Linked DNA regions of Drosophila melanogaster. The protein of the gene in region 1 interacts with the protein of each later gene in a pairwise test. Each region holds a gene or a part of one and is shown in the gene's direction. Other genes may lie near its edges.

Evidence for each region. The genes of interacting proteins can lie anywhere in the genome.
Region 2: the proteins of CG43691 (region 1) and CG7856 interact in a two-hybrid assay, tested with the Drosophila melanogaster proteins (one large-scale study listed by BioGRID).
Region 3: the proteins of CG43691 (region 1) and crn interact in a two-hybrid assay, tested with the Drosophila melanogaster proteins (one large-scale study listed by BioGRID).

Annotation. Positions count from the first base shown.
Region 1 is NT_033778.4:13,388,952-13,395,368, reverse strand, and holds CG43691 (uncharacterized protein), read left to right. Parts: upstream 1-2,007; 5' UTR 2,008-2,150; coding exon 2,151-4,844; intron 4,845-4,919; coding exon 4,920-5,516; 3' UTR 5,517-5,874; downstream 5,875-6,417. Other genes in the region: CG4744 (uncharacterized protein), read left to right, coding at 1-626.
Region 2 is NT_033778.4:6,056,826-6,061,322, reverse strand, and holds CG7856 (uncharacterized protein), read left to right. Parts: upstream 1-1,764; 5' UTR 1,765-1,887; coding exon 1,888-3,939; 3' UTR 3,940-3,966; downstream 3,967-4,497.
Region 3 is NC_004354.4:2,247,063-2,251,564, reverse strand, and holds crn (crooked neck), read left to right. Parts: upstream 1-1,581; 5' UTR 1,582-1,701; coding exon 1,702-1,737; intron 1,738-1,795; coding exon 1,796-3,868; 3' UTR 3,869-3,971; downstream 3,972-4,502. Other genes in the region: CG3191 (uncharacterized protein), read left to right, coding at 211-370, 471-552, 616-918, 985-1,121, 1,178-1,259; Or2a (odorant receptor 2a), read right to left, coding at 4,071-4,121, 4,192-4,502. UniProt on the Drosophila melanogaster protein: May be involved in pre-mRNA splicing process. Involved in embryonic neurogenesis and cell rearrangement during Malpighian tubule morphogenesis.

The DNA of each region.
Region 1 (6,417 bases):
AGAGGAATCGCAAGTGTGAACAGAAGCAGTCCAAAAACTTCTATCAAATCCGCAATGACAAGACCGAGAGTTATCTACATCACACGGAGACCATGTTGCGGGACACAATGGAGGCGATTAGCAGCATAATTGATGAGCAGGTGCGACGAAGAGCATGCATTCCTTTGCGTCCGGATCTCCAGGACTTCTATGACCTAATTCTCAAGACATCCAACGAGCAACAAAAGTGTCGTGAGAAGCGACAGAGCACACTTCAAATCCTTGCCGAGGATTTCAGTCAGGATGTGCGATTGCTCGATCCGAGTAAGATCAGCCAAAAGTCGAGAATTGTCAAGAAGTTACTGCGACAGTACGAGGATCTACCGATGGAGGATCAACAGGCGGCGGTTGGAGTGCGTGATGAATTGCTCCTGGATCTGGTTTATCTCCAGAAGATGGCCGAATCCGCAGAGCGCAATCAACGTAACGCCCGTTTGCAGGAGGTGCTCAAACAGACCAGCCTGGACGAGGTCCTGGAAAAGAGTCTAACCACCGAGTACTCACCGCGTTTTATAAAACTGCTAAAGACGGCGGAGCTTTATAAGGAGGCGGGCGAGCAGCAGGCCAAGGCATTTGTGGGTCTTTAGACCGCTTTAATCAACGTTTTAGATTTTTGTTTCAATTCATTAGTTGTTTTTTTCAATTAAAAATTCCCTTTGTTTGAGTTAAGTCATATATTTTTAACACATTTGAAATAAGCAACAAAATTCGTTTGAATTTATGTCAATAAATATTTTGAATAACACTTAGTTATTGTAAAATATTTTTAAGAATATAGTTTTATCCAAAGTAGTGCGAGAGTCCCAGATTGGCACCCAGATCGGTCTGGCCCTTGAAGGGTCCACTTGTCCACTTGGATGCCGTGCTGCCCAGATCTAGCCTTGTGTTGCGATCCTGCGACTGCCAAAGATTGGCACGCCCACCCAGCTCCAATTGCTTACCCAATCCGGGAATATTGGCGTGCGTCAGGGTAGCTCCATGACCTTTGATGTGGGAGTAGTCCAGTGCAGCTTCATTTCTATCGAACTTGAAGCCATTGGCAAGCTGATTCTGCGAGGCAAATGCCTTGGCATCCAGATTGTGAACACCGTTGTTGAACAAATTGGCGGTGGCCGTTTGCTGGAAGCTATCCCGCACACCGGGCGTATGGGTTTTGGTCAGTTCCAGGCCGTGTCCATGACTGCTCATGAAAAATAAGATTAGTTTCGCTATTGCTCAGATCGTAATCCTTTAAGAGACTCACTTGTTGTAGCCCAGGGTGGCGCCGCTGGTTACGGGAGTGGATACCGGTTTGGTCTGCGTGTTGCCCGCTGCGAACACTTGTCCAATAACATGGTGATCGGGAGTTCCAACGGCCTTGCTTAGGTCCAATCGGGCATCGGCACCGCCACTCGGATTGGATGTGAGTGATCCACCCAACACCTGGCGACGTGCCCTGTAGATTCTGGGTGGCGTCGGTGGTGGAGATCAGTGGCTGGGTATACGGACGTTGGGGCAAGGCCACCGCAAGGGAGCCAAGTACGCCAACGATGACCACAATTAGGAGAACAATTTTGCTCATCTTGCTGTATTAATCTCTTGATTTTCGATCTACTTGACTAAGCGGCTGACTGTTGACTGACGATGCTGGGATCTGGTCACCGTGAATTATATAGCAATCTATCTCTGAGTGGGGCTTCCCATCGAAACCGACAATGAATACCAATTTATAGATGGAAGATTTGTGATGCCTTATCTGTAAGCTGAGCAATGTTTCGCACTGGGATCCCCGAATGACCAGGTGGTTCACACCGTCTGATAAGAGATTGTGCATCCCCTTGAAACTACTTGCCGGTGATTTGCAAACTCTTTAAGGGTTTATTTTGAAGACAATTTTAATTAAATATATTTATGAATTTATATATAATAAAACAAGAATTTTAAAATAAAATCAATTTGAATTCAATTTATAATAACATATTTGCCAATGAGTAAGTTCAAATTTTAATAGAGTTAGCTTTTAAATTTTTTATGACATTTCATGACATTTAAGACTGTTTAAAAATCTAGTTAATTGGTATTCTTTGTATACACAATTCAGAGGATAAGGGATCAAATTCGATTAGTACGCGATGCAAGTGCCCCTGCTCCACCGGAGCACCCAGATGGTGCTGCTGAAGAAGCAGATCCGGCGGAAGGCGAAGGAGTTGCGTCTGCGAAAGCGTCACGCCCACCGCCGCCTTCAGGTGATGAGAAGGATCCGTGACCATCTGCTCGACAGGATGAGGAACTCCATAGATCACCGGCAGCGGGATGCGGAGCAGAAGAAGAGGGAGCAGACACGGAGGGCGGTGGGCGGTATGCTTTCCATGTACAAGCATTGGCTGCGCAGCTGGTCAAAAGCTTTAAGGTTACAAAGTCAGCTAATTCGGCACCAGGAGCATGTAAAAGTGGGAATGCGTCGCAAACTTCGACACTTGAGGAGGCAGTTGAAGAAAGTCCGCAATCCAAAGAACTTGGTCGACAAGTGCTTCCATCGACTGTTCAAGGCAGTTAGGAAGTGGCAAAAGAAACCGGATTACTACGAACACGTCAAGGATCAGGACAAGATCTGGGAGGCAGAGGCACTGGAGGTTCGAAACTATTTATCGGAGGTTCGGGGAAGGCGACCACGAAAGCTAAGCCGTGGCAGGGTTAAAAAGGATTTCGAAATCGAGGACTTTGCTAAATTTTGGAAAACTGAAGTGTTGCAAACAAACGCTATGATCAATAAACAAAGGGCCATGAGAGGAAGAAACGTGCCAGTAGATACAGCACATGATAAAACTAGGAAATCAAAGAAGAAATTGTGGAAAAGAAAAAAATTATATATCAGCTTAGATGAACTTGTTATTCGGAAAAAATTGAAAAGAATTCGGAAGGACATTCGAAAGCCAAAGAAACATGATCCATTAAAACCATCTTTAGAGGAACTGAAAATGTTGATAAGGGAACTAATCAGCTTCAACTGGAAAAAGATAGTTATTAAAAACCCGAAAATTAACAGAAAAGCCATAAGAAACCCCAAATTTGATTTTGACAAAATCTCCGATATTACAACTTTAAACCCAAAAGTACGAATAAAAAGAATTGTGAAAAGCGGACGAGCTCCCAGAAATGTTCCAGATCCGAAAATCATTAAATTCAAGGTAACAAGACCTAAACTTCGAAAGCGTAAAATGCACTATGTGGATAGGGTAATTAAAGACGAATTAAATGCACTTTTAGAGACAAAGGCAAAGAAAAGGGGCAATCGTCATGGAAAAACTAAAGAAGCTGAAACTTTTCAACAGGAAAAGGAAAAAAGAGACTTGGAAAAGCAAGAAAATGTACTCGAAAGATTATATAATGATATACCCCTATATATGAGGCGTGATATTGAGAGAAGAAATAGGAAAAAACTACGTGACAAACTTCAAGCTTCTAGTTCGAGTAGTTCGATTGCGTCCAAAGAGGTTTTCATCGGATCCGAAAAAGTGGCCACTAAGTCGGATAAGCACAAAAAGCTTTCCAGTACGAGCAGCGTTTACGTAATCAAAGACCGACCCGAATTATCTGCCGAGAGGAGTGGTTCTCATGTGTTATTCAAAAGGGATAGCGTTGCGTCCCTCACTGAATCACTGAATAAATTAGTTATGGGCAATCGAAACCGAAAATTTACCCGTAAATCTATTCGCATGCCACCCATCATACCCAAGAAGATCCGCGTTGCTCCTCCAAGAGGTCAAGAGGAAAGTCACTATCAGTCTTTGAAGAAGGATATCATGTACCTTCCTACAAACAGCGAGCATATGGGTGTATCTAGGATTACAGCCAGCGAATCAGCTCTGCACAGAGGGAACCAATCGAACAGGCATCTTCCACGAAGGGCTTCCGATACCCAAGTTGGTATTTATCCGACTAAATCCCAAAGCCAAGTTTTTGGTCATCTATCTTCGAAATCGACATCCAAAAATAAATTTAAATATGATGCGCTGCCAGATGATCTTGAAAAACTCCTTGCACCGGTGCGAGATCGCCACGACAAAACAGAAAATGCCCCAAAGCCCTACGTCAAAGAGTTCGAATTCGAACGGTTTCATTTGAAAGATCTACGCTCAGATGCCAAATTCAAACACTTGCAGTTCCTCCTTAAGGACGTCATACAAAGAAACGAAGTTATCGAGTATATTGCCGATGTTAATGGACTTATGCAGGAAGTAGCTAACCATGAAATGTGGTCCCATCTTCAGAGTCTCTACAACGAACTCACAGATGCAGGAGTTACGTTAACGCAAATTAAGGAAAGTCTGGCCAAAAAGTACTTGGAGTATCTTAACGAAATAGTGACCGAGAAGAACTATGCACGAATGGAACCGCCGCGGGACAATATGCTTAACGTTTTGGAAACCGAATCTATGAAAGCCAAACAGAAGAAAGAGGTGGAAAAGTTTATGGAGCGAAACTGGTGGTCTAGGAAGCGGGTCAGCACACGGCTCATTCCCTTCGGCATGCGGGGAATAAGGACGAGCAAAATTGACCCATCTCACAGCTCACGCCAGTCGCAGGAAATCAAGATGAACGGCGGAATGTACAATAAACTCCTCGAGCAGGAGCTCAATGCAGAACGATTGGAGCGCGAGGAGCGTAAGAGAAGACGCTTTAGCAGCACCTTTGGATCAACTATAAGCTTCAACAACAGCTTGGATCTGGCGGCCAACGAGGAGCAGGATGTGCGGGACATCGAGTGGCGCTACTCGCTACACAACATTAGGAGCATGATGAACCAGCACCAGCTGATGTTTCAGGTGGGTTAACTATACTCAACCGCCAAAAAGTTATAAAATAACATCTTCGAAATACATTTTTATTCTTTCTTTCAGGCTTTGGATCGCAAATCGCGAGTGGAGCAGTTGGTCCACAAGAAGATGAAGGGAAAAGTCGAAGAATTGTATACCTCTGCACAATTTAGGCGTCCTAAATTCCGTTCCACCACTTTTACGGCAAGGAAGAGGAGCAAAGATCTTAGGCCCATCGAGGAACTTTACTACTCACCCCGAAAAACTTGTCGCCTGCAGAAGATCTCCTGTTCCGCAGAGTGTTTGGCATGCGAAGGCCAAGTTGAGAAAATTGGTGATTCGATGATCCTGGACAAGTGTCCTCGGTGTGGAGTAAAGGTGCCTGTGCCCGCGCCCACTACCCCGTTCTCCATGTCGTCCTCGTCCAGCTGCGAGATCTTGTCCAGCGGATCCATAGAAGCCTGTGCCAAGAACAAGCTGCTAATCAACACGCTCGAGGACCTTTGCACACGCTGTGGCTATGTCCATAAAAAGGGGCATCTTTGCTCACAGTTACCCATGAATGAGCGGAAGACCAAGCTTCTAAAGCGGATTAAGGGCACCGTACCTACTGCTCCCGAGTGCCCGGCATTTTGCTGCCCACGCGGGATCCTTAAGAATACCAGAAGTTTTGATCCTTAGCAGGGGCGACAAGGAGTGCTGAGTACTTTTGAAGCCACCAAAGTGGTAACTAAACTCCGGATATGCACGGATATGAGCACCACCAAATCAGCCGGCTGAGGCGAATGAAACATTTGGTTTAAGTGCTAAATAAATTCAAGTAATGAGTTTGCCTCTGTCTGTGGGTGTGCCTGTGTTGTTAAATGCTTTGCCAAGTTTCATAAAATATGCAAGGACTTTTGCACACACACACACACACACATTGCACACCAACAAACAGGGCCAAGCTCATGCGATGCACTCACGTAGAGAGAAAATGTCTGCGGGCTTTTAATACACTTGCAGGATGCTCCTTCTCCTGGTCGTGTTCCTTATCCCCTTGCTGCTCCACCCACTGCTCCCCCCGATGCTCCTGCCACGACTTCTCGCTCATGCAACGAAATTTCATCTTGCCTCCTTTTTTTTTCGGCCAAGTTTTTAAGTCGAGCCATTGCTGTAATGGAATTTTATTGCATACTCGCACTCGCATTCTGTTTGCGCAAGCGAAACATGTTTCAGACATTTTCATAAATGAAAACGCTTAACTACACAGCCGCCGATTGGCCGAAGATCAGGCAGGCTCTCAAGGAATTTTCCGAGTAACAGATCCTATATTTCAAAATTGTTGCAATTAAAATGGAACTGTGCTTACAATGTTATTGGTTCTTCAGTAAGGATATTCTCATTTAATTTAGGACATTTTATGTATTTTTATACCAGATCAGTGGATATTACTTACTGATTTATAAAGCTTGTAAGACTGCATTTGGAAATCCTAATATTTGTTAATCTAGTTCTTGCTCTTACAAATCTGCTTATTTTTCTTTTTTCATTTTATATATAACTTGTGACCGAATAAATTCCTTCGAGTAACTTAACCCAT
Region 2 (4,497 bases), 7.3 Mb from region 1:
GTCGAGGAAGTCGACTACAGCGTTCTCTCTTGCTTTAAATACACATATTTGTGTTTATTGCAAGGGTATCTAAGCTTCGACTTATCGGCGCCATCTTCTTTTCAGGTTGTGTATTGCGTTTTATCCGTGGCCTTGCCGATGCCAATCTCTTTTGCCGAGGCATGGGTAATTTTCGGCAAATAGAACTCTTGCCCAGGCTCAAAAGTCTTAACACATGTCTTGGGGAGAATTGGAGTAGAAAAATTGTAACACATGGTTAAGCACATTTAATCGTTGGGGTCTTAACCTTTTAATTTTATCACCCGCTCAACTTAACATATTTAAAAGGGTTAGGTTTTGAAAGATCAACTGTTTTGGCTTAAAGGTAAAATCTGCTCTTTTCTTGACTTATTCATCTTGTCCACTATAAATGCACTTCGCGAGTCAACTAAAAAAAGAGTCCGAAAACGTCAAATAGCTGCTGGCAACAACAAAGAATATGTCAGTCTTTTTTCTAAATCAGGAAACTTTTTCTTTCCTGTATCAAACTTTTGGATAGGTTTTTCACGAGCGAAAGCGGAAAAGTTAAATTTTCCGCTTAGTCCTAGCCGTAGACAAGCCATTTCATTTAAGAGGCCATCCCATGGGATCACTGGGCAGGCAACAGCCATCAACAAGAGAAATGATTAAACTTGACTGACCAGACACGCGCCTTAATGTCGTCAATTGACCTCAATCAATTATACACAATATTTTTTATTTGACCTTCGTTTATTCCATTAGAGTTTTTTTTATTTGTATTAAAATTCGGCGATGTGACTGTAAAACGCATCTGAGGCAGCCATTTGGCCTAGGAATAACATTTTTTCATGATTTAGCGTTGTTGTACGAGCTGAATTTGGTATGTGCTAGATAAAAACCAGCCGTTAAGCAATTTCAAATGTCGGGACACGGGTGAAATAAGCATTTGCCACCCGCAGTCAGTTCCGAGCAGGGGATGTCTTGGATGCCCCGTTGCGAGCAACCGCTTAGCAAAAGGCAAAGCCAGATATTATATGTTATCACCAGCGATGTATTACTGCTTCTACAGCACAGTGACTCAATATACAAATAAAGGTGAGAAAAAAATGCGATTCTCCTTTTTTTGACTTGTGCAAGAGCTTTTGATTTTGGAAACGAAACGTAGCCCAGAGAGACAGGGTATGGCGTTCCGTTGTATTTCGTGTTAGATAAATCATAAAGCAAAAATAATTTAATACACTTGCGTGCCCTGGTTGTAGCTCTGGCGACGAGGCGTATGTGCAATGCGGCGTGTCGGTTAATCATTTGCTTCTTTTATGAGCAGCCAAGCCGAATAATAAGCCTCAAAGAAAAGCGAGCTTAAAGGTGCACCTCAAACTCTGTTAAATTCACGGCCTATCACGACGGCACGACCCAACGCTCAACGCCAACTCATTATTTCCCCTGCAGCTCTAATTAGAGTCAAATATAACTAGGGGGCCTTGAGGACCCCGTACGCTAGCCTTGGCCATATTTAATGCGAGCTGAAAGGTCCGCGAGTTATGCAAATTTGCCCCGCCCACCGAATGCTCCGAACATTGACAAAATTATGCGCAATCGCGGGCCAGTCTCTCGGCTACCAACTTCCGGCGACAAAGTCAAGTCATGGATGGACATCCTGACCTCGCCCGCGGGTCCAGCCATTAGTCGTCATTAAAGATGATTGAATGCGAGCCCCGCTTTTGCATTGTATAAAAGGGGCACACTCCTGGTGACAACAGGGTAGGTAAAGTTGCCTTGGCGTCAGTTGGCAGTTTGGGAAAAGCCTACACACTTAATATTTCGATAGATACACTTATTTCGCAATCGTAGAAGATACCACAAATCTCTCTTCCGTAAATTATAAGTATGTCCAAGAGGGTGAGCATCATGTTGCCCGACGAAATACCTGCGGCTCCGTCAGGCAGCAGGAGGAACCCGATGCCCAGCCGCACACTCAAAAGTTCCATTAAAAGTGGATCAAGCGCTCGGACGCAACCCGCACCGCCAGTGTTCGTGGTTGTCAACCCGGAGAGCAGCCAAAGCTCGCTTACCTCGGGTCAGCGGAACAACACCAGCACGACCAGCAACAGTTCCCTTAACCAACGAAATAAGGAGCACTCCGCGGCGAGGTTGTCAGTAACCGAAGATACGGCAGCCCTGGACAGCAGTGCCTTGCTTCAAGGTGGATCCTCAAACTCTCGTGATACAGTTAACTTCGATTCGACCTCCACCTCGATCAGGATGTTCCTTAAGAACACAGTGGGCCTTGTCAGGGCAGGAGAGTCCTTCACATCTGTAAAACATCTCTTTCACAAGTTCATCAAACGCAGCGGTTCTGTGCCAAATTCCAAGCGTTCGTTGACATCCTCCTGCTCCCAGGCGGTAGATGAGGAAAATCCCTATATGAGCAAGTCCAATGATACGCTTCTGACGGACTCGCCCACCCGCACTACTGTGCCCAGCACCTCCCAGATAACGCCCACCTCACATTTCTCCAACTGCTCATTCAATAACACGAACTACGACCTTTCCAACCTCCTCTCTGACATCACCCCTTTGACTGGCTACACGCCAGTGGGTCTCACTGAGGAGGCTGACTACCGAACAGACACTTCCGCAAACACCGCATTGAACAGTGTGACATGCAATTTGGCGAGCTCGTCGGAGAATCCTTTGGGAAGCGGATTCGACAACAGTCCCTCGAAGATTTCTACCGATCAGGAGAAGATAGCGGACACACAAGGACGTCCTACTTCCAGAAATCGCTTTAGCAGCAAATCTTTTCGCCAGAAACTTAAGACCTCGCGCTCTAGTTCACCCAGAAAGTCGCCCAAGATGTCACCTCGAAATAAGCAGTCAGCACCTGCAATGGAACCCATATTTGCAATGGTTAGTTCATCTGGGCCTAACTCTTCTGAGGGATCACGGCGATCGAGCAAATCGAGCCTGAGGCGGAAGCAAAGTCCATTACCCAACGTAACTGCCAAAATCTCGGCCACCTCTAATTCAAGAGCGGACTTGGCTAAAGCGCCCAAGTCCAGGAAAGAAACCACCGCCCGATCAAACCTATCAAGAAAGAGCTACCGCCGGAGTTCACCCAGAAGCCGAAGTCGAGGTTCTCGGGCAAACGCCTTAGAGAGCCCCCTTCAAAAGAGCGAGGACACCCCCGACAATGTAGAGTACGCCTTCGCTCTGGTCAGCCCTGAGGAGGCGGGGAACAGTCAGCCTGAAGAAAGTAGTGCCGGTGTCGAGGATGCCTCCTCCAAGTGCGAGACATACCAAAAGGATTGCAATTGCCACCATTGCCAGGACATGCGTCGGGCGGTCAAGAGGTCCGACTTTTTCAAATCTCCCGAGGGACAGAAGCGGCTAGAGGCGAAGCTACTGGCCAAGAACTTCTTCATGGACCTATGCGTAGCGTCAGAAGTGCGCCGACAGGCTCAGTCCGATCTGCATGGAAAACGACGTCCTCCATCAGCGCGTCTCAGTTACCCGGTGAGCATCTGTGGAGCGTGCAGGCTGAGCGGAGGCTCGCTGTCGTTGCATTGGATCACCCATGACCTTGACAGCGTAGACCACTTCGACGTTTTTGTGGACAACGTGCCAAACCGTAGTGTCTACAACCGGCAGGCCACCTCCACCGTGCTCGTCGACGTGAACACCACCGAGACGCACACGCTGCGCCTACGAGCGGTGCCGGAGCGTGGGAGCCGTGGTCAGGATTCCTCGGTGGACAAATTCATGTCGGAGGTGGCGGCCGGGCATATGCGTCACGTCAGGCAGGGCCAGCTCTTCGCCACGTGCTTCGCGCACCTGGACGCCCGGCCGCAACAGCGTTCACTGGTGGATTTCTGGACGGACAGCGAGTTCTTGTACATGCCCACCCGCGAAACTCTTACGCCTTCAAAGGCTCGCTGACTGGCGAAAATAAACTGATTTATGAGCAGCAGTCCGTTTTGGGAGTGGATATGCGGCAGGAACAGCTGCGTGGGTGAAAATTGATTAGGCTAATTTAGAAGTGATGACCAATCGGCGCACTAAACTCTCAGTGCAAAAGCAGTGGCCCGGCTCCCACCTGCACCACGTTTTGCGAGATATTCAAAACGAATCGTGGGCCTGGTGCGGCCATCAGTCAACGAGACATGGGCGCTAAGCATCCCGCGCGTCTTTATCAGTGGCTTGCAGGCAGGCTGGCTTGGCGTGGGGGGACTGGTACTGACGAAGGCGTTTCGCGCTGATCTGTCAGAGATTTTGGGCCGCAAAGTGGCATGATTAATTATTTGGCAAATATTTGGATTCCGCGCTCTCAGCTCAGCTGGCTTCACCATGGAAATAAGGAAAACCAAAAATATGCGGACTGGCACTTTCATAGAGGAAAGAACGGGCGAGAAACCCAAACCGTTCAGTATTTTAATTAATTTTCACTTTCGTTGGGGACTAGTGAGCATTCCATCGACAATGTGATGGACAGCTGTG
Region 3 (4,502 bases), on another chromosome or scaffold:
GCCGCTCCGCTCGCCGCCTTACGTCACTGTAGTCAATTGTATACAAACAGTGAATGTACAGGCAAGTCTCCCTAAATCGAACCGCACTTCCCAATTCAATATGTCCAACACGATGTTTGAATTAATTAATATTCCCGTAATGTGCAAAGTTCCATGGGCTTAACTCCTTAGCAAAAACTTCATTGTATCGTACCATATGTGTATTAACAGATCCGCTGCTGCTCCGGCGCTTCTACCAGTGCATGTTTGGAGACGTGGAGGAGACTCGGAAGCTCATCGAGGTGAACTACGCCCTGCGCAACCGGCACCCTCACCTGTTTATCAAGAGGGATCCTCTAGACGCGGACAGCAAGCGCACCTTTGACTACGCGTAAGTGTGTCCTTATTGGGAGAAAAGATTCCCTTTCCTTTGAGGCAGGGCCATGTTCCAAAAACATACATACCCGTATACCCCAACACTCGAATTTCAGAGACATTCTACCGCTGCCTGGCCTAACGCCGGACAAATGCAAGGTGTCGCTGTACTGCTTTCGGGAGTTCGAGGCCTCCAAGGTGAGTAATAGCTTCTCTTTGCTGTAGGAACTTGCGCTCCATACCGCCGATTGCTATCCCCAGATGCACCACACGGAGGACACGCGCGCCTTCTTTATGGTCAGCGACTGCCGGTTCGTGACGCCGGACGATCTCGCCAAACCGGATGTCCTGTCCGAAGGAGAGGTGCAGATATTCGACATGAAGGGCACCACAATGCGGCACATTTCGCGGCTGACGATCAGCACGCTGCGCGCCTACATCAAGTTCCTCCAGCTGGCATTTCCGGTGCGCCTGCGCGCCATTCACATGATTAACTGTCCAACTTACCTGGATCGGATCGTCAGCGTGGTGAAGCCGTTCATCAGCGACGAGGTCTTCAAGCTGGTGGGTTTCTTGAGAAGCCATTATGTCTCTAATAGCTTCATCTCACCATTACTTTCTACACTTTAGATCCGTTTCCACACGCAAAGCATAAATACGCTGTACGAGTTCGTGCCGCGGGAGATGCTGCCGGAGGAGTACGGCGGAGGAGCCGGGTCCTTAGAAGCACTGCGGACCCATACCCAAAAGGCCTTGGTTGAGCATCGGTGGGTTTCGATCTGCATGTTATAGTTATTCAGTAACGCCTCGTTGCCTTTTGTAGCGACTATCTGATGGACCCCGATCACTGGGTGGTGGTGAAGCCGGAGAAGCGGAACGAGAGTTCGTGGAGATTTTTCAAATGATTACCTAGAACATCTTCCACGGTAGCAAGGAGTCTCCTTCAACTGAAGACGGTTAAAAGTGTTTCAAGTGTATTGGGATAAACAGTTCCTGTGGCTTTTCATCTCTTAAATATCCATTTTTTTTTTAAATTTGTGTTGAAATTGCTCAAAAATAAATAAGTAAAAAATGCGTTATCCGTTTTATTTTTAACCCAACAATGTACAATTATTATACTAGTATATATTTATGGAAATACAACAAAAAAAGGGATTTAATTGAAACACACATTCAAAAGTAGAATGCGCAAAAGGCCAGTGGAGACAAAAAGCGATTATCGATAGCGAACTATCGAAATATGCCTATCGTTATCGCACGACGTTGTTAGTGGCATTATTTATTTTGTTGCGATTTAGCGTTTTTCCAACATAACATTGCTAAGTGAGGGACCCCGAATCGCACAGCATGGAGCGGCCACAGAAGATGCCCAAGGTGGCCAAGGTATGTGCCATCGTCGGCAATCCACCAAACCAACTTATCCAATCCAAAATTTCACCAGGTCAAAAACAAAGCGCCGGCGGAGGTGCAAATTACGGCGGAGCAGTTGCTCCGTGAGGCCAAGGAGCGAGATCTGGAGATTCTGCCGCCGCCGCCAAAGCAGAAGATCTCCGATCCCGCCGAGTTGGCAGACTATCAGCAGCGGAAGCGAAAGACCTTCGAGGACAATCTCCGCAAGAACCGCATGGTAGTCAGCCATTGGATCAAATATGCTCAGTGGGAGGAGCAGCAGCAGGAGATCCAGCGGGCGCGCTCTATCTGGGAGCGGGCGTTGGACAATGAGCACCGGAACGTGACCCTCTGGCTGAAATACGCCGAGATGGAGATGAAGAACAAGCAGGTGAATCATGCTCGCAATCTGTGGGATCGGGCAGTGACCATCATGCCGCGAGTCAACCAGTTCTGGTACAAGTACACCTACATGGAGGAGATGCTGGAGAATGTGGCAGGGGCGCGACAGGTGTTCGAGCGCTGGATGGAGTGGCAACCGGAGGAGCAGGCCTGGCAGACCTACGTCAACTTCGAGCTGCGCTACAAGGAGATCGACCGGGCACGGGAGATCTACGAGCGATTTGTCTATGTGCACCCGGACGTGAAGAACTGGATAAAGTTCGCCCGCTTTGAGGAGTCTCATGGGTTTATCCACGGCTCTCGGCGGGTATTTGAGCGCGCTGTGGAGTTCTTTGGTGACGACTACATCGAGGAGCGCCTGTTCATCGCCTTTGCACGTTTCGAGGAGGGTCAAAAGGAGCACGACAGGGCGCGCATCATCTACAAGTACGCTTTAGATCACCTACCTAAAGATCGCACACAGGAGCTGTTCAAGGCCTATACGAAACACGAGAAAAAGTACGGCGACAGAGCGGGTATTGAGGATGTGATTGTTTCCAAGCGCAAGTACCAGTACGAGCAGGAGGTGGCCGCCAATCCCACCAACTACGATGCCTGGTTCGACTATTTGCGCTTGATTGAGGCTGAGGGCGATCGGGATCAGATCCGTGAGACGTACGAACGGGCCATTTCCAACGTGCCGCCTGCCAATGAAAAGAACTTCTGGCGACGCTACATTTACCTTTGGATCAATTATGCTTTGTACGAGGAGCTTGAAGCGGAGGACGCGGAACGCACGCGGCAGATCTACAAGACCTGTCTGGAGCTAATACCTCACAAGCAGTTCACCTTCAGCAAGCTTTGGCTGCTGTACGCCCAATTCGAGATCCGCTGCAAGGAGCTGCAGCGAGCACGCAAAGCTCTGGGCTTGGCCATCGGCATGTGTCCCAGAGATAAGCTCTTCAGAGGCTATATTGATCTGGAGATTCAGTTGCGTGAGTTCGAGCGCTGCCGCATGCTGTACGAGAAGTTCCTGGAGTTTGGACCGGAGAATTGTGTCACTTGGATGAAGTTTGCCGAGCTGGAGAATCTGTTGGGCGACACGGACCGGGCGAGAGCCATTTTCGAGCTGGCGGTGCAGCAGCCGCGCCTGGACATGCCAGAGCTGCTGTGGAAGGCGTACATCGACTTCGAGGTAGCCCTAGGCGAAACAGAGCTAGCCAGACAGCTTTACGAGCGACTCCTTGAGCGGACGCAGCATGTGAAAGTGTGGATGTCGTTTGCCAAGTTCGAGATGGGCCTCAGCCACGGCGACAGCGGGCCAGATGCGGAGCTGAACGTGCAGCTGGCAAGGAGAATCTATGAGCGAGCCAACGAGATGTTGCGTCAGCTGGGAGACAAGGAGTCGCGTGTTCTGTTGCTAGAGGCATGGCGCGACTTTGAACGCGACGCCTCCGATTCGCAGGAGATGCAAAAGGTAATGGACAAGATGCCGCGGCGCATCAAGAAGCGGCAAAAGATCGTCTCGGACAATGGCGTCGAGGAAGGTTGGGAGGAGGTATTCGACTACATCTTTCCCGAGGACGAAATGGCTCGACCCAATCTCAAGTTGCTGGCTGCAGCTAAGATGTGGAAGACACAAAAAGACAACACGGTGGACGACCCGCCCGCTACAGCTATTGCATCTGAGCCAGAACCTGCAGCTGATGCTGCCCCAGCGGATACGACGGATAGCGGTGACTGATTCACTTCCGCCTAAAAATCGTTGCTTTTGAACAAAGCTAAATATCTGAAATTGCAGATTTTTCGCTTTATTTTTGGATACCTTAGTAATAAACCACTTAAATAAAAAACTATAATGATCTTTTTTTTTGTTATATTATCTGATATATTTTTCTGCTATTGTGCTTTAAAATTTTTCTCCCCAAAAAGAGATTATAAAGTTCTTACTTGGCCCTCAGCAAGAGTGTGAAAACAGAGTATGTGAACCTCATGACCTGGAATCAAGTGAATCATATCATATTTGAATCAAATCAAAGGACATTTGAATATATAATTGTGCCTTGCCTGCTCGAAGGTCTCCAGCGAGAGTGCGATGTAGTTGCCTGCGTAGATAAGAGAAGGCCGCTGCGTCCTGGCCAGGGTGAAGAGCAGTTCGCGCTTGAACTTGGGCAGCTGTTCTATCCAGTTGCAATCGTAGAAGGCATCGCACAGCGCCTCGCTCTGTGTCCGCATCCTGTCCCCAAAATAGCAGATTACAAACACCTCCAAGGTGACGGCCGAGAAAAATACAATCGAGATGATCATGGCGGTGTGGTCGTGGTCATCCGCTACGTACAGGAAGTGCATGGCGACGGTACACTGGACGGCGGCGGAGC